Caenorhabditis elegans: one gene and its partners. The protein of the gene in region 1 purifies or fractionates together with the protein of each later gene. This does not show direct contact. Each region holds a gene or a part of one and is shown in the gene's direction. Other genes may lie near its edges.

What was found.
Region 2: the proteins of T15B7.15 (region 1) and kcnl-3 fractionate together in Caenorhabditis elegans (co-fractionation; one large-scale study listed by BioGRID). This does not show direct contact.
Region 3: the proteins of T15B7.15 (region 1) and acy-1 fractionate together in Caenorhabditis elegans (co-fractionation; one large-scale study listed by BioGRID). This does not show direct contact.

The regions. Positions count from the first base shown.
Region 1 is NC_003283.11:6,834,693-6,840,497, reverse strand, and holds T15B7.15 (GRIP domain-containing protein), read left to right. Parts: upstream 1-1,832; 5' UTR 1,833-1,953; coding exon 1,954-2,019; intron 2,020-2,077; coding exon 2,078-2,200; intron 2,201-2,247; coding exon 2,248-2,389; intron 2,390-2,445; coding exon 2,446-2,599; intron 2,600-2,993; coding exon 2,994-3,264; intron 3,265-3,307; coding exon 3,308-3,415; intron 3,416-3,464; coding exon 3,465-3,617; intron 3,618-3,662; coding exon 3,663-3,773; 3' UTR 3,774-3,803; downstream 3,804-5,805. Other genes in the region: lgc-54 (Ligand-Gated ion Channel), read left to right, coding at 31-212; Very-long-chain (3R)-3-hydroxyacyl-CoA dehydratase hpo-8, read right to left, coding at 335-590, 643-767, 819-926, 976-1,093, 1,153-1,202; col-143 (Nematode cuticle collagen N-terminal domain-containing protein), read right to left, coding at 3,835-3,998, 4,049-4,844; T15B7.14 (Chloride channel CLIC-like protein 1), read left to right, coding at 5,156-5,170, 5,226-5,405, 5,452-5,523, 5,570-5,677, 5,741-5,805.
Region 2 is NC_003284.9:5,384,026-5,390,307, forward strand, and holds the start of kcnl-3 (Small conductance calcium-activated potassium channel-like protein 3), read left to right. Parts: upstream 1-2,832; coding exon 2,833-2,971; intron 2,972-3,834; coding exon 3,835-3,911; intron 3,912-4,375; coding exon 4,376-4,528; intron 4,529-5,361; coding exon 5,362-5,500; intron 5,501-5,797; coding exon 5,798-5,926; intron 5,927-6,282. UniProt on the Caenorhabditis elegans protein: Forms a voltage-independent potassium channel activated by intracellular calcium.
Region 3 is NC_003281.10:4,719,855-4,726,032, forward strand, and holds the start of acy-1 (adenylate cyclase), read left to right. Parts: upstream 1-2,240; 5' UTR 2,241-2,357; coding exon 2,358-2,642; intron 2,643-4,842; coding exon 4,843-4,916; intron 4,917-5,025; coding exon 5,026-5,149; intron 5,150-5,604; coding exon 5,605-5,907; intron 5,908-6,178. Other genes in the region: emb-5 (Suppressor of Ty 6 homolog), read right to left, coding at 1-307, 381-633, 681-811.

The DNA.
Region 1 (5,805 bases):
TCGTTTATTCTCTAAATATTACTTTTCCAGGACTCCTCACGGATGACGATGACGAAAATACCAAATGGACTGCACAAAATGTCGACAAATTCTGCAGAAAAGCATTTCCATTGTCGTTTTGTTTTCTGAATCTCATATATTGGTGTTATTATTTATACCAGAATTATTTGGCAAAGGCCGAAGCTCTTGCTCAAATGACGCCACCATCCTGATTTTCGGGTGACTGTTTTTTTAGAAGACATTACGGGAGAATAATTTATGAATAAAGTTGAATTTTGATTGGTTGCAATTAATCTAGAATACACTGTAATATAAATACACGTAGAATTTTTCTTTACTGCTTCTTCTTGCTTCCTCCGCCGAGAATCTTCTTTCTTTGACCGATCATGTAGAAGTAAAGTTGTGGGAATCCGGGAATGTAGCTGAGAGCAGCAATGATGAGCACCCACCAGAAGGAGATTCCCATGTTGAGACGGTTTGGCATCTCGAGGGTAAGGATTTTCTTCTCATCAACTTCATTTAATGAAGCGAACAACGTCAGAAGCTCTCCGGAGACTCCCATTGGGTAGAGAACGTAGAAGAGGGTGTATCTGTAATTAAAATAGTTGAGTTATAGCATTGATCCCCAGAATCTCAAAATACCTGAGGTAGAGAAGGAAATATGGGATTGGTTGTTTCAATACGCTGAGTGCATAGAACGAGTACCGGATGACCTCTGTTACGGACCAGGCAACAAGAAGAAGTGGAACTCCGATACTGAAGCGAGCCTAAAAATTGGTTTAATTTATTCAAGTTTAAGATAAAAAATTCCAACTCACTGTTGAGCACAAGTGGAGGATTGGCCAGACAAGGACGACGCGAGATGTTACTTGCATTGCGGTAGTTCCAACTGGTGAACGAACAAGTCCGACAATTGCGTGAATGACCTGAATATGATAATTTCTTTAAAAGTTTTTCAATTTCAACAAAGCTAACCTCGAGAATAGCTGCGGTTTGGAAGATTTTAAGCTCAAATTCCACCGATTCGTAAAGTTGTGGCCATGTCAAGCCATTAGCGAGTCCAAGAACTGTTTTCACAAGAATTGCAGACCATCTGAAATTAATTTAAATTATTAAAATTATAGTGAACTTCTTTCAGAAAAAAAAACGTACCCTAAAATTTGTAACACGTTGTACGCAACCAGATACGTCTGAACGCTCATTGTTACCCTGCAAAAATAAGGATTTTAGGCAATGCAAAGAAAAGAAAATGAGAAAAGTATATCACGCCACACGAAAAAAAAGATGAAAGGGTAGAATGGAGTGATGTACAACAGAAACGTTATCAGTCAACTTGCGGGGAGTTTGAAGAAACATTTAGCGAAAACATAAAATGGGACATTTTATGTAATGTAAAACATTGGTAAAATTCGAAAGTTTAATTGAAAATATATAAATCTTCATACGATATCTTGGTTGATACAGGAAAAATGTAAATTTCTTAGTTTTTCAGAAAAATTATGAGAGCGAGGTTATTTATTTTTAATAAAAATTGAAGACTTCAGTTTTTTAATTGGAAATTAATCAAAAAATCTAGAAATAAATCACTTAAATTAAGAAAATGAAAGAAAATAATTTTTAAAATTTTAATTCTTAAGAAACATTTTTCTTGACTACAACACTCCGAAATAACCCTTCGCGCTTTGTTTATCGTAAATCTACATCAGGGCGTTTTTGGGGACAGTTTAAAAAATAATTTTTTGTGGAACAGGAACAGGAACTTGAAGCAGTTTTTTTTGTTCTTGTATTAAAATATTAAATGTAATTTTGAAACTAAAGAAGACTTATTTATATTTAAGCAAACGCAGGAAATTAGTTGTTGCACCATGGACGGAAATTGAAATTTTATGGCTGACTGATCTGAACTCTAGACATTCTGAGTTCTTTTACGTATTACTTTAGTTACTCACAACTATGATTTCTAAACAACGCCAGGATTCTGATGAAAAACCTCTCGAGGAACAGTTAGAGTTACTGCAGGTGGTTTTAATTTTTGAAAATATTATCAAAATTACTTTAAATTTTATGCTTCATTCAGGAAAAAATCGCAGAAATGATAGTAACAAATGAGGCGACCGAGAATCAGTTGACAAATTTAACATTCGAGTCGAACGATGTGATTATTTATCTGAAAAAATTGGTTGAAGAGAAAGACGAAGAGGTAAGAGAGGAATTAGAGAAAAAGGCAAAGAACGAGCATTGTTTCAGACTGCTCGTTTGGAAGAAATGTTGGAAGAACAGAGAAAAGAATCAGATAGAATGTTTAAAATTCATAGAGATAATTCTGAATTAGAAGAGAAGAAATTGAAAGAGCAAATTGAAAAGTTAAAGAGTGAAATGAGCATTATGGGTAGGCCGAAAAGAGAATAGTGAAAGTAGAATTAAAAACTTTTTCAAAATTTTTAGATACACAACTGGGAAACCAGCATCGTATCGAGCTAGAAATCATTGAGATGGGTGCAAAACTGAATTCTCTACAAGGTGTCGTTGATGAACAGGAAGAGACAATTCGAAGAAAAGAAGCAGAAGAAAGAAGCGTCAAAATTGCAGCTATTGAGCAGTAGGTTTCAAAAAATTGTATAAATTGAGGGGTTACGATGGTAGATGGGCTCGCCTTCGTGCCTATTTGTCTGCGTCTGCCTAGAGCCTACACGCCTGAACGGCTCCCTAAAATTTTGCAACAAAAATTATTAGTCAAAAATATATATTTCAGTTCCTAAAACCTACTAAACCAACACAAGTATCGTTTTTTGTGTTCCAAAAAATTGTCTTTAATATCAGGAGTTACCGAGTTTGCCAAGCTATGGAAATTGCATTTTCTGAAAAAAAAATATGCAGACTCATTTAGCATCTGGTTGTTTAAAAGAAATACTTGGTCCTTTTCGACCACTAAAGTCTCGTACTTTTATATTGTCACGTCGCAAATCATCTAGAGAATTAAATGAAAATTCCAGAGCTCGTGCAGATTTGAGCGCCGAGTTCGAGCAAGCTGTTGCTGAGATCCGTATTGAAGCAAGTCTGGAGAGCAAAGGTCACACTCTGATGAATAATCAAGTAATTGAACATTTGGAATTAGAACTTACCAGAAAGAAGCAAGATATGTTACGAATGGAGCAAATGCTCGAGGAGAAACAATCCGAATTGACGCAAGAAATAGGAAAAACTCAGGAACGTGAAGAAGAGAATTTAAAATTACGGAGTCTTTTGGAAAAGAGTGGCCAGACTGTGAGTTATTTCCTTCCTAACTTTTTTATTTAGTCTTTTCCAGACTGAAAAGGCATTGAAAGATAGTAAGAGACGACTGGAAGAATCGGAGAATAAACGAAAAACTACTCTCGAGAAATATATTCAAATTGAGAATGAATTGAATAGTAAAGTAAGTGTTGAAACTTTTGAAATAAATATAGCAAAATAATAACTTATAGCTAGACGAAGCTCTTCAAAACTCAGACAAGTGCCAAAAAATGACGTCACTTCTTGAAGATCAGCTTCTGAGAGAACAACAGACAAGGAAAGCGACAATTGATTCTCACAAGGCTCAAAATAAGAAAATTGAAGAACTCAAAGTATTCTTTAAGGTAATTCAAAACAACTTATTCCATTATTTTTTCTCTTTATTTCAGGATGTTCTATCCAGTGAAGAAGGTCTTCTAGACGAAGTTATAAAAGAGAATCGAAATGCTGTGTTTGCTCATCTTGCTTTGATTATATCTAGAATTCCAATTGTTCGCTAATGTACATATATGAAATTATCAAAAATTGTATGCTGAATATTTATTAAACAATGACTGTTGCTTAGACGGCCTGTGCGTGAACGCGAGCTCTGCGTTGAACGGCAACACGGCGGCGAGCTGCGATACGGTGACGGACAACAACACGGTTGCGGGCAACATTTCGATTGACAGCGACGCGGCGGTTGACGGCCATGACAGAAGAACGGGCTGGGCATGGGCAGTAGGCTGGAATACACGATTATAAATATAACATAATTAACTTTCGAGAAACTCACCAGCATCTCCTCCTGGGGCTCCTGGGTTTCCTGGGGTTCCTGGAACTCCGTCGTTTCCAGAATGTCCTGGTTGTCCGGATGGTCCTGGTGGTCCTTGAGGTCCTGGAGTTCCAGCTCCTCCAGAACGTCCTGGCTGTCCTGGGGCTCCAGCTGGTCCCTGTGGTCCTGGTCTTCCGGATGCTCCTGGAGTTCCACGGCTGCGTTGTCCTCCACGACCTGGATTTCCTGGAGATCCTGGATGTCCTGGCTGTCCTGGTGATCCGGCATCTCCGGCTGGTCCGCGTGGTCCTGGTGGTCCACGTCCACCTGATTGAGCTGGGGCTCCTGGTTGTCCGTTGTTTCCCTTTGGTCCTGGGGCTCCTGGTGGTCCAGCTGGTCCTGGTGCTCCTGCTGGGCAAGTGATACAGAATCCTGGTCTTCCCGTAGCTGGGTTAATTCTTGCTCCAGATCCTGGTTGTCCAGCAATTCCTGGAAGTCCTGCCTCTCCGCGAGCTCCTGGTTGTCCTGGTGGTCCTGGTGGTCCAGCTGGGCATCCACGGGATTGTTCTCCACAGTTGCATTCAGCCTGTCTCTTGTTACGTCCGAGAAGGAATGATGACCCGGATGATGGGCGAGTGGTTGGGATCATTGCTTGCCAAGCGATTTGCTCGTATCCCTTGAACTCCTTGAGCTCCCCGATCTTCTCATCGTAGAATGAGTTGATGTCATTGAAGATCATTCCAACTGTGAAAACACAGACAACAATAGCAATACCAGAGGCGGCCGAAGCCACAGTCACAAGAGTACTGGCGCTCATCTCTGCAGATGAGAGTGAAGTTGTATGTAACGGAACCTACCTTATATACAATTCTACCGGTTACTAGGTAACAGAGGATATAGCATAGAGAATCGAGAGGGTCATCTTGGTTTATCAATCCCTGACTTGTGTCCTATTATTTCAAAACCAGTTTCAACGAGGAAGAAATGTGAAGAAGATGCAAAATGGGCAACGCCTCCAGAAAAAAGTAAACGACGTGAACTTAACGGATAGCATCGCGTTGGAATTTAGAAACGTTGGAAACGCGTAGGAAATTGCTAGAAAAATGTTATTGTATGAAAATTCTAATTATGTGGAAAACTGTTGTGAGTTTTTAAAATAAAGTCTTAAGAAGTTTAGATTGAAAATTGATATTTTCAGACAATAATTATAGCATTATGCATACAAAAAATATATTCAAATGTAATTCCCGAGATGGCATGTTATCGACTTGACCATCAGCCACCAGACTTAACATCAGAAATTCAAACTTCTATCACCCCAAAAACATTTTTAAATATGGTTGAAGAGTTCACAAAAATGGAGGATATTGTTCTGCTGGTAAGCTGCAAACTTATAAATTTTCCTAATTTTTCATACTTTTCAGAAAGCAGGAGAAAAAATAATTACCAATCAGAGTCTTACCACTTTCGAATACTCCAAATTGGGAATCTTTCGAGTATAATTTTTGGTTTTGTTTTCAAAGACCTGTGTTTTTTTTTCAGAAATCAACACTATTCTACATAGCAGTTGCAGTATGTTACCTCTACTGGTTAATCTACACATTTTGCACTTTCAAGTTTTCCCGCTCTCAATTTGATTTGTTAATAGCGGTATAATTTCAAATATGAAGCATATTAGCGCCACACAGGCCACATTTGACAAAAAATTTTCAGCCATATCGAGGATTCTATCTGAAAAGTGTGTTGATGCTATTTTACTTTCTCTTTATTGCGCTCAC
Region 2 (6,282 bases), on another chromosome or scaffold:
AAGATTTTTATTCAATTTCAGTAAATGTAAATGATGTTTTGATTTTTTCGAGAACTTTTCATATCTGTAAACAATCAATAAAAATGTAGTGAATAAATTTTTGAATGAAATTATATCTTCTTTCAAAACGTGCACTTTTTCCTTTAATTAAATAATATTATTTTTCAATTACCATTAAAGTGCAAAGTTTTTATTTTGAGTCAAAGTTTTGTTAAATGCCAAATTTTCAAAAAGTATGGACTTTTGAGACGTTTTTAGGCGTATTTGAAGGTTCAAATCCATAACTGGTTAAAAATAGAAATAAATAACAAATGATTAAAAAATTTGATAATAACATTTTAAAAAACATGATCAATTATCACTTATATTTTTTCTACTATGTTAACTTTTTTTGGATTTATAATATAATTGTTAAAGTTTCAGAAATTTCGGAACATTTTGTTGAAAAAGAAAAAAAGGAAAAATATAATTTTTTAAGAGTTTTTACATCAGATAAACTGACTGAAACCTTATCCAAAAAAAATTATTTTATTTTAAACGTTTTGCTCATTTTTACAAGCCTAAAATTATTTTAACACTAGATTTCTATTCTTGTACATGAGGTACAGCATACTAATTTTGTGATGTTGTGTTTTATTTCAGTCAAACATACTGGGTTAAATTCTTTGCCTTCCTAGTACCCCCTTAAAAACAAATTCAAATTTGTTACCCAGTATTCCAAATTTTATTTTAATTCCAGAAACTATGTTTTTCTTTTATGAATGCTTTGAATCCCTTGTTTTATTTTTCTTGGATCTAAGTCCGGAAGGGGTATATTATCAACAAGCCTGTAATTTTCAAATCCTTAAGTTTCCACGTCCGTTTTATTTTTTCAGATTGTTTGATTTTTTTTTTCACCAATTGATGTCTTTTTCCCATCTCTTTCTTTTTTTGAATGAACACACCGATTTTCGATTTTTATTCTGCTCACTTGTGCTATTTTAGTAGCAACTACTTTTTACTCTTTTTTGCCTCTTTGGAACGCTTTGAAATAAAAAAAATACGTTTGGTTTTAGATTTTTTAGATTTTGTGATTCATTCATTCAGAGTAAAAGTTTCTCGCTTCTTTCCAAAGGGTACCTCAATTTTTTTCCAAGTCGGAGATGACGCTATTCGGGAACAAAAACGTTTTCAGGTGTGTGTCCAAGTCAAGTTTCAAATTACTTTTAGGGAATACTCAAAACTTATTCATTCGATTTTACTTAGTTCAACAAGTTCACCTATCGGATTACTAAACTTTTTATGTAATTTTTCGATAATTTTTTTGAAACATGCCTCTAGTTAAAATCTCTTTAGAAAAATAAAAATTGAACAGTTGTTTGAATCTCCTTCTATGGTGAAAAATATCATAGTAAAACACTTCAAAAAACTGTGAAAATATTTTCAAAGTATTGAAAATTGGCAAAAAAATAGATTTTTTAAAGAATTTGTTACTGAAAATTTGCGAAAACGCCAAAAAAAAAGAAAATTTCAAAAATTCAATAGTTTTCGGAGCGTTTTATTATTTTCTAAAGGGTTTTTTCTAAATATTGATTCAAATTCAAAAAATGTCTCCTGACATTTATTGATAATAATATCTTTTTTTTTAAATGAAGGTAATATAAGGAGAGGCAAATATAGGCATTGGGACTAGAAAGACTCTCATTTACAATCACCCCCTACACAGGGAGATAAGGACAACAGAGCAACCGGAAAGAATGTAGTAGATTACACTATCCAGGCAGACGCCGCATAGATCAAACTATATATAAGACATCTTATGTACAGGACAACACAACACATTTATTTGAATATGTTCTGACAAAAAACAATTTCAAGTTTCCAAATTCCTAAAAACCGCAAATAATTTGCCGCGAATTTATATACTCAGAATTGTACGTTGTCTCACATGCATTCCGATGAACATGCCTTTGTGATAACGTAGGTTTTGCTTGAATGCCAGTGCACATTGTTGTCATAATGACCTTGTTCTAATTAATCAGAGATCTTAAAAAAGTGCACATATCACAAGCCCCATGAATCACATATAGCTTACTGATACCATTTTTTTTGTCTTCGCACTTTAAATATACATTTTTTGTTTGTTTGTTTTTTTTTCTTATTGATGGAAATTGTTCCAACTTGTTTCAAGTATATCAATATGTTCCTTGAAATCATCCCGTCGACTTTTACTTTTTTTCCAGACGCTGATCGGGATAGAACAACACAAAGGACACGGCTCTCACAGCATAGACTTATCAACTATGCAAATGGAGGTAATCGTAATTTGATCACTTCTCTCCTTTCTTTTTCCATACTCTATTCTCATTTCTTGTGCATTCCGATGAAATCTCAATCTCACACGAGCGGCGCCGCCACTCCTCTTTAGTTTATACTCGATTCAGATGAGACTTTTGTCGTCGTCGTCGTCCACCAAATTTTTTCCCTTCTTATTTTCATTTTATTTTATTTTATTTGTCTCGTGGTCCCCTGGCTCGAAGCCAGCCTAATTCTTATACACTTGCTAAATGTGCATTGCTGTTTGAGCTTTGTTCTTTATATTCCTCTCATTCTCCTCCTCTTACATGTTACCACCACCAGCTGTATCAGAAAATGAGTGGAAAAATAAGGAGAAAAACACTGAACCAGTAGTCAGCCCACTCTTGGCTTCATATAAACAGCAGCACACCTTTTTCCAATTCCTTTCAACTCCTTTGCCAACCACACATTCTCTCTCTCACCACCACTAAATCTGATGTTTTTCAGCCGGATCTCTCGTTCTCTGATGTTATCACAGGTAGTACTGATATAGTCATGGAACGGCCCAACTCACGACTGCACTGTCATCCGGAAACACATACCTACAAATGCACAGTGCAACCATATTTTCCCCTACATACACATGCAACTACGGTTTATGGCAATGTAACAAAACATCGGCCGAGTCTGGGAAGTGAGTGTTTTATGAGAAAAGTTTATAAAGTTTTGACAATTTGTTTGCAACGAATCCATGGTTTTGATACCTAATTTTAGTATTTGAGTACTATAGACAGGTAGATCAGTAAACATTCCTAACAAATTGAAAAACGATTGGATACATTTTTAAATAGAACAAAAAAAAAGTTACGACGGTTCAATGTATTATAACAAATTTATTTTTAGATAAAATATAATTGTTTTCGTTTAATGTTTATGCTCTTTTGCATAGGAAATCAACTATCAAAACGTAAATTTAATGTTTTAATAATTTTTTGAATATGCTAAATGCCCAATTAGGCTATTTCTATTAATTTGTGAGTTTTATAACGTAATCCACATCAACCCAGCGGAATAAAAAATTTCCATTAAAATCTAAAAAATTAATTTCGAACATTTTCATAAGTTTGAAAATAATTTCACATCAACTAAGTTTTTATTTTGTCTATTTGGTTTTTTTATAAGTTTTTCTAAATTTGAAAATACCACAATTTTCTATTTCATCAACTTTTTTGTAACTCTCCAAAAATAATTTCGTACTAAAATAGAATTTATAACCAAAATTTCACAGATGCCAGATCGATCTAATATAATTTCCAAAAGTCTAAAAAATGAAGTAATAATCTTTGATTATTGAATTTTTTCCCCGCGTTTTTTCCCGTTGAATAAATCATATTAGTCAACGTTGTCTTTTGCTCATTCTGTTGTTAATCATTTTTACACAGAAATTAACTTTTACGCAGAATGGTGAATTATTCTGATTATTTTGCAGTGCTTTAGAATTAATATATCAATGTCTCTTTTCAAGGTTTCTTTAATTAAATTATTCGTCATTTTCAGCATTGCAAGCAGGTGATACTCTTCATGCAAGGCGATTTCTCAGCGATAAGCGACGGAGTTACCGGAATCGAAGTCTTGTGAGAACGTTTTCTTTTTGTATTAAAATGTGGTTTTTAATAATGTAAGAACCCGAGTGCAAACTACTCGAATTTGAATTCAAATTTTCTCTTTCTGACACCCAAAAATAGGTTACTTACTGCCATTTTGTTTTTGCATGTGACCGACAAAATGGACTACAAACGTTTTTTCATGATGTCAAAACAAAACGCAGCGAAAATAGAAATGCAATTTGAGAAAAATGGGCGTGGCAATAAAAATATAGACTTCTGATGTATGAGCCAATTTTGAGGATAAATAGTTTAGGCTACCCGAGTCTCATAACAACCGAATCAAAAAATTATTCACCTGGATAAAAAAATTTTATCAGTAAATCTATACATATTATAAGCTATATAATGCATCGCCACTCGGTTGTTAGCTCTCCGGTAAAACACGAAATCTTACTTAGAAGTATATTTATTTATTCTATTCTCTTATTTAGGGTCCAACAATTGCATCTGCTCCGTCTGTGGAGCAAGAAGACTACCGAACACCCAGGCCTTCATTTGATAGCAACGGTTATGTCGGAAAGAGTTTTGACTTTAGCAGTGCACAACATGGGCTTACTGCAAGTGAATCAAATGCTCTCGTGAAGGTACACTTTTTTTTGGTTGTTCGATTTGGTTGTTGAAACATGATAGTCTGAGTTATAAAGTTTTCAATTTCCGGTTAGATAATTGAGAATGAAAATAAAAATGGATAGTGCACTTTATGAACATTTGAGTTTGTTTCATTTTTTTGGTTGAGTATCAAAGTATTGCGGTGGGGAAAATCTTTGAAACCTCTCCTAATTCAAACATCATATGTAGTGCAAATTTTCAAAAGATTTTTATTTTTTGTTCACTATCAGAAACGTTTTGGGAATCGAGCAAAACAAGTTGTATGTATTTTCAAAAATGTTTATATTTGTGTTAAGTTTGAATACTGTAAGACTTGAAAAATTTTGCATTTTGCGTGAACATTAATGGGGGAGTATCATCGATGGGGGCTTAGTCTAAACACATTTATAATAGTCTAACATGGCAAAGTATCATAATTTAACACTCCAAAAAGTTTTGGATTATCCGATAATTTCAGTCGTAGTTTTAGTAAGTTGTCAATTTTTCTGAACTTTGGATTTTGGATGACCTAGAATCTCAAAATACAAACTATTGAAATGCAATTCATATGTGTATAAATTCTAGAAAACTTTTTTTTAGAGGTGAAATAAGAAATTTCCATTGACGATACTTCATCTCTAGCTGGAAATTGTGAGACATCCAGAACCTCAGTGTTTTATTTAGTCCCGTTTCAAGTATATTTTAAAAAAACTGGTGCTATGATTTTTTGATTTTTCAAAATTGAATGTCATTCATAGTAACCAATTATAGTGAGTACGATCATGAATCAATCGGAGATTACTGAGCAAATTCATATCTCGTTTTGCAGGTGTCAGCTGACTTTCTTAGGTTAAACGGAAGCCGTCAACAGTTCAAAAACCTTCTATCAGCTCGAAAAAAGCTGGGATCCCTTCCGCCTGCTTACACAAGAATTGACTATAGCAGGGAGTCGTTGGACTCGCATTCTGGTGAGTGATGGGGTTGGGGACGAAAAAAGGGGGCATTGTACTTACGAGTCGCTAGTACGGTAGCAACAAAATCCTAATACAGCTACAATCATAAGGAGGTATAAAATACGTTTGACTATACACTTCAAAACACTCATTTCTTCAAATGCTCCTTATTCTGTAGTAATGTTAGTTCATCAAAGTTCGTTTGACGATGATAATGATCTAGACTGCTGTAAGTTAAATTTACGTATGACAATAAAGCGCAATTGATGTATACGTAGTTCAACCGCGTAAAATGTGTAATTTTATTTTCAGCGCGAGGGATTCCTAATCACCATGGGCCGGTGATAACAGTGGAGGATACAGGATCTCAACTTAGGATTAACAATATCAAGCCCAGTGTGAATCAACACCTCCTCGAATCGTCATGTTCGTTTGAAAAAAGTGAGTGAAAAAACTTAGTTTTGAAAAATATGAATTCAACTTTGAAAGTGATAAAGTGGAACGTTCTTGTTTGTGAGTATTTTGTGAGAATACACCACCTGACGCCTCCCCTGACGCCTCCTTAAGACCTGCCGCACCTATGCCTATTTTCTGCAATTTGTCTAGGCGTTTGTAAAACGTTGAGTATATGTTTCGCAGCGTCCGATATACGCGTCTACTACTCAAATTCCACTAGCAAGAACACTGGTCCCCCGTTCCTTTTCTATGTAAACCTGAGAAAGGACATGTACGCCCACACAACCAATTGGATTGTGATACAAGGTTCTTAAATGGCTTTAGTAAATTTATTCTTTCCG
Region 3 (6,178 bases), on another chromosome or scaffold:
TTTCCTCCTCTTCGTCTTCTAGACCATCCTCGCCATCATCATCGTCGTAAAACTCGTCCAAATTGAAGTCTTCCACTCCGAATACATCACGGGCGTCATCTTCAGCGCCTTCTGGGAGATTTTCGTCTCCACGATGACGTTTCCGATGTCTTCGTGGCGCATCTCCATCGTCCTCAATAAAGTCATCCTCACTTCTTTCAGACTCTGATCCGTAACCACCGCGATCTCCACGACCACGATCTTTTCGCCTGTCTCCATCGTCACTTCCTCGTTCGGAAAGCAAATCATCATCTTCGTGGTTGGGTCTCTGAAATTCCGAATTTGATTATTATTATTATTATGAATTTTAGTGGCAATTGAAAAAAATCGAAATTACTCACTCGTATCGGCTCATCTTCATCACTGGAATCACCCAATTGAACTCGATTTTGTTTTTTCGTCTCTCGAATATCATAATTCTCATTGATCAAATCAAGATCTTCATCGTCGAGCTCATCTTCTCCCGAGTGCCGAGATTTTTCTGACTTCTCCGATTTTGCGTCCTCTTCTTCATCGTCATCATCTGCAATGAATCCCTGCATTTCTTTACGGTTTTCCTCTTCATCGTCATCGTCGTCTTCATCTTCGTCAGAACTAAAAATGAACAAATGAAAATAGAAATACCCCGGAATTATAATTACCTGGCAACCATTTTCTTCTTTCTTTTTGATTTTTCCTTTGCCATTTTCATCTTTTTCGACTGTGGTTCTTCATCATCAGAATGGCCCGAGGAGGCATCTGATTCTTCGGCTTGATTATCGATAAAATCCATTACCTGCAACAAATTCAGTTAATTTCACTTGGGAAGAACGAAATTTCATAATACAAAAATTTCGAAAAGCACAAAGAGCAAAATTAAGAAAATTGCAAACAGCTCACAGTGCGGAAAAGGTTTAAAAGTGAAAGAAAACTGAAAAATCTTATTTTGTGCAAAAAAAATTAGCCAGATAGGTGAAAAATGACGGATTTTACGCGGTTTTTAGGCCAAACGAGCGAAAATTAATCAATAAAGAAAACGGAGAAAGAAGGAAACCGGCCATTCGGGTCGAGGACAAAAATAAAAATGAGACGATTTTCTGAATTTGAACGCGAAGCGATTTATGCAACTGCGCCCCATTGTGATGCTAGGCGAGAGAGTGTGGGATTGCAAGAGGCGGGTAGAGATAGAAAAACGCGGTCGTTTAAAAAATATCGCTTTCCCGAGTTTCGCGTATTTTAGGAATTATATGTTTCATTTTAAAGCGATATTGCGAAAAGTGATTTCGATTCATCTTTATTGCGTGATAGGTAAACAAATTGGTTCATTTAGCAAGCATCCAAGACGACGAAATACGATAACCGGGGTATTCAGAATTGTTGCGAAAAATGTAATAGCTATATAGCTATGTGAAATTATTTAGGCATAAAAGATTAATTTTCATTCAACTACCATGTTCAATTTTGAAGGTTTATTCTTCACAGACTCATTCTTTCATCAACAAAAATCTTACCACGAAGAAAAACTTTATCAAATACCGTACCAGCGAGTATGATAGAAGCTTTTTAAAAGTTTTTTTTCCTTATTTCCCGATTTCAAATATATACGTAGATTTTTTCGAGGAAAAATCAATTCATAAGTTCTGTAATTTCAGGAGAAATTTGGCGAGAAAGATTGAGGTACTACAGTACTCCCGAGTACGGTAGTTGAAAAAGTTTCGCTTGAATCAGTGTTTCAATTCTAGATATACGCCCTACCAGATGCCTAGGGGGTAAGTGCCTACAGTGAAGGTTCACTTAAACTGCATTACTTTGATAACCTGAACCTGCTGATCATCATATCCGAAAAACCCCCAAGATATTCACTTGCTGACCATTTTTCATTAGTTGAAGTCCTAATTTCCATCGCTAATTATTCATTCATTTGCTGTTTCCGACATACTTATCAAATCCCATGGGATCCCCCGAATCCATGAGCACAATAATCGAAAGATTGAGGCTCAATGTCTATTCTCCATCCTCTCTCTCTCTCTTCCACACTCTTGGACCCGCCCCACCCTGGGGCCAGTCGAGCGCGCAGCTTTTCGTTTCAAACTCTGCGCCTCTCTCATTCCAAAGCTCTCTGCGCACTTTCTTTTACTCTCTTTTTCTCTGAAAAGGCTTTCAAAAGTAAGTGAGAGATTGGAAGAGAGTGAACGAGAGAAAAAGAGTAAGCAGTTGGGGGGAGTAGGAGGCGAAGGAGGGGGAACAACTACTACTCGCTCTCCTCTACTTGCCTCATCTTCTTCCTTTTCATTTTTCAACGTCTTCTATTCTGAAGATTCTTCTTGTCTTCTGGATTCATGGACGACGATGTCGGTGAACGAACACCGGCTCTCGGTGGTTCATGTGGACCATCAGTTCGTGCACACAGTAGTTCCCCAAGACGTGTTCCATTATTTGAGAGAGCATCTGCTAGATGGTGGAATCCTCAATTTCGATCTGCAACACTAGAAGCTCAATATTGGAAGTGTAGTTTCAGTCAGTTAAGAGATCGATTTCGTTCTGGATTAATATATATTGCCGTTGTAATTGCCGCTTGGACACTTTATTTAGCTTTATTCGATAGAACTTTTATTCAGCATTGGGTGAGTTTTTATTTGTTTTTTTTTTGGAAAAAAATCTAGAATTCATTGCTAAAAAAATATCAAAACAAAAAATTCTCGGCCCGGCTTGTGTGAATTATTCAAATCGTGGAGCTCCGTAAAAAATTCAAGGAGGTCATTTGCATTTTCTATGGTTCCTTCCTTCCGATTTTCTCATCTACTGTAACTTTTTTGTATAGGATCTTTGCAAAAGTGGAAATGATGTAAAATTTTCAATTATCGAATTATAATTCTCGACATAAAAAACGAATGTTAAAGTTTCCACAATAAAAAGTTCTGGAAAGTTTGAAAGTTTGAAAGAGGGTTCTAGCTCGGCTATTGGTTAAAGGAAACTCTGCTGATCGGTTGGACACACCCACTTTTTGAGAAAAAAAATCTGGTGTGGTTTGCGAGCTATCTTGGCAATCTCGCGGCTGTATTTTTTAATTAAATTAAAAATGAAAAAAATTCCCATGGTAAAGCTGTCAACTGATATATTTCAAAAAATAAAGTAATGAATTTCCCAAAAAAATTTGGAGCTGAAAAACAGGAAAAATGTGAAAAAAAAAACCGCCCACTACATAAGGACTACACACCCGGACTTTTTAGAAGGCAAATTTTATCGTTATTTTTAGGCTATGATTTATTTCAGACCCAGCAGTTTTAGGCTCAGAGTAAACTGTTAAAAAATTGAAAAAATCAGCCATCAATTTTGGTTTTTCGGTCATCTGACGAAACTTTGGAGAGCTAAATTTTTTGTCTCTCAAATAACACTTTAATAGTTTTTTAGAACTGTGTTTTTCTGCCAAAAACCTCAAATCACAAAGTTCAAGTGTATTACATGTTGTTTTTGACTTTACCTCAATTCATTCTCAACCAAAAATTCAAGAACTTTCTCTGAACACATTTACTTTTCTTTCCCATTTCTCTTCCGTCCGTCCAACTATTTTTTATTATTATTTCTTCATTCGATTTCTTCTCACTCGGACACCCCTCTCTCCATTGTATACCGCGCACGCGGTTTGGGACGACTGGTCGGACAAATAAATATGTATAGATAGTATATATATAGGTATAATGCAAATGGTTTTAAGCAAACATTACGGAAAACTGCGAAAATTTCTCATTTCGGAGAGGTGAGGGGAGATAAGTTTATTTTGATTTGTTTCAGAGCGAATTCCTTTGTTTTAATAACTGTATCAAATAGTTTTTCTTAGACTTAGGCTTAGGCGATGGCGTAGACTTAGGCTTCAGCTTGGACGCCTAAAGCTAGGCTCTCAAGATTGAGTGGGTACGGTAGCCTTTCAAGGTGGCCTTCATCTACTTCATGTCTACATTCGTGCCTACTGCCGAAGTTCTCATACCATCCTGTATTAGCCCGGGCTCTGGGAAATTTGAAAAATCTTCTGAAACTTCGAAAAACAGTCACACCCATCTTTGTGTTTAGGCTCAATCCTTTCCCGTTCTAAAAATAAGTTGGCTTCATCGTTTCCACTTCCTCCTCCTTCTCCTTCTCGCTGTCAATTTTCATGAGCTCAGTGATATAGAGAGAAAAAAGAAAGAAAGGGTGAAATAGGGATAGAGACAACAAAACAGAAAAGCAATTGTTGAAAAAAAAAAAAAAAAAAAAAAAAACAGAAAACCGAAAAAAGTGAGATAAAGTGAGATAGAACGAGAAAGAGAGAAGGGCCCCCTTTGTAAATCTGCAATGTTGTGAGATGCGTGTGCTCCCTCCATTTGCTCGGGCGCCAGGAGAGAACGCTCCATGAGTTGTGAGGAGCACAACGGTGCGGATGTGCCAAAAACCAATTTCACGGGGAAAGGCACGCATAACAATGTGACAGACTCTTATTTTCGGAAGATGATTGAGATGAGACAGAAGTCAATTTAGACGTTGTTCTTGCGCAAAGAAAGTACCGAGAGGTTGAATCAAGAACAAATAATTTTGGCGGCTTGTATCCCAGTTGTCTTAAATTTAATAAAAACTTTGAACTGAAAAAATATTTGCTATACATATGTTTTTCTATAATTTCGTATTTGATCATTTATTAATAACTTCCAAAAGAACCAAGCTATGTGCCCTAGAAGTAAAGTGGCGGACTGAAAAAAATCTCAAAAAAATATCAAATTCTCCTGCAAATTTAAATTCTAAAATATCGATTGGTGTCTGGATCACAAGAATATCCATAACCAAAAATTTCAGATCGTTTCACTATGCCTCTGTGCCATTATTTTCGCGATGTTTGCCTTCACGGCGTGCGCCGCTCAATACCAAAGGTTTGCATTTAATGTCCACTTCTTTTTCTTTATTTCGGGGGCTGTAAACTCGGAAAACTGTCGGAACACGTTCTGTTAGAAAATGATACTGTATGTGTTGAATGTTCAGGTTCTACATGCCAACCTCATTTCTATGCACTTTTTTGATATGCCTTGTCACGTTGCTCATCTTCTCCGCAGAGAATCAAGCTGCGTTTATGACTCCAGTTGCAAGTCTTGCCACAAGTTTTCAGGTAGGAATCTGGGGGGGAATTTTTTTAAAAGTACATCCGACATTCAAGACCCAGTGTGAAAAAAAACAGCTGTATTGGATAGAAATATTTGTTGCAAAAGTTTGCAAAAAAGTAGCAAAAACCAGCCAATAATTTTCGAAAGACTGCCAAAAAAGATTCAAACCTTTTCAGTAGTTTGCATAAGTTTGCCAAAAATTGCAAAAGCTATTTAAAGTTATGCAAATGTTTGCCGGAAAAATTCAAAAGTTTGCCAAATAGTTGCAAATTGTTTTTTAGAAGTTTCCGAAGATTCTCGAGAAATTGCACAGTTTCACAAAAATTGCAAATTATTGAAAGATTTGTTAAAAATGGTGAACGTTTGACAAAAAGGTGCAGACGGTTGTCAACAAGCTGCCACCGAGTTTCCAGAACATAGTACTCTGATATCATTATCACTCAATTCCTTATTATTCCAGGTCGTTCTCCTGATCTACACAGTCATTCCACTGCCACTCTATTTATGTATACTCATCGGAATAATCTACTCAATCCTATTTGAGATTCTCAACAAGAACAAAATTGGTCTTGAAGAGGCCGGATACATTAAGCTTGTCCTTCACGCTGGTGTCCATTTACTCGGTGTCCATTTGTTCATTTTAACTCAAGTGCGACAGAGGAAAACGTTTCTGAAAGTGGGACAATCGATGTTGGCAAGAAAGGATCTAGAGTTGGAGACACAGTTTAAAGATCATATGATTCAGTCTGTGATGCCTAAAAAGGTACGCATGCATTTTTGATTTGGAATGGGAAAAGTGGAGAAGAAAGAAAAAATTGGAAGGCGCTCGAAATAGATGGCTTCGAATTTTTCAAATTTTTGATTATTATTTTCGGATGGAATATGGGATGGGACGATAATGATGTTTTGAGCGAAAGCAGAAAAATAATAATTAAAATTATAAGTCTCATGAAATATGGGTTTTTGGAGAAATTATTTGAAGGAAGGAGACATTTAAAAAAATTAAAAAACTTTCCAAAACGTTGACTGAAAAA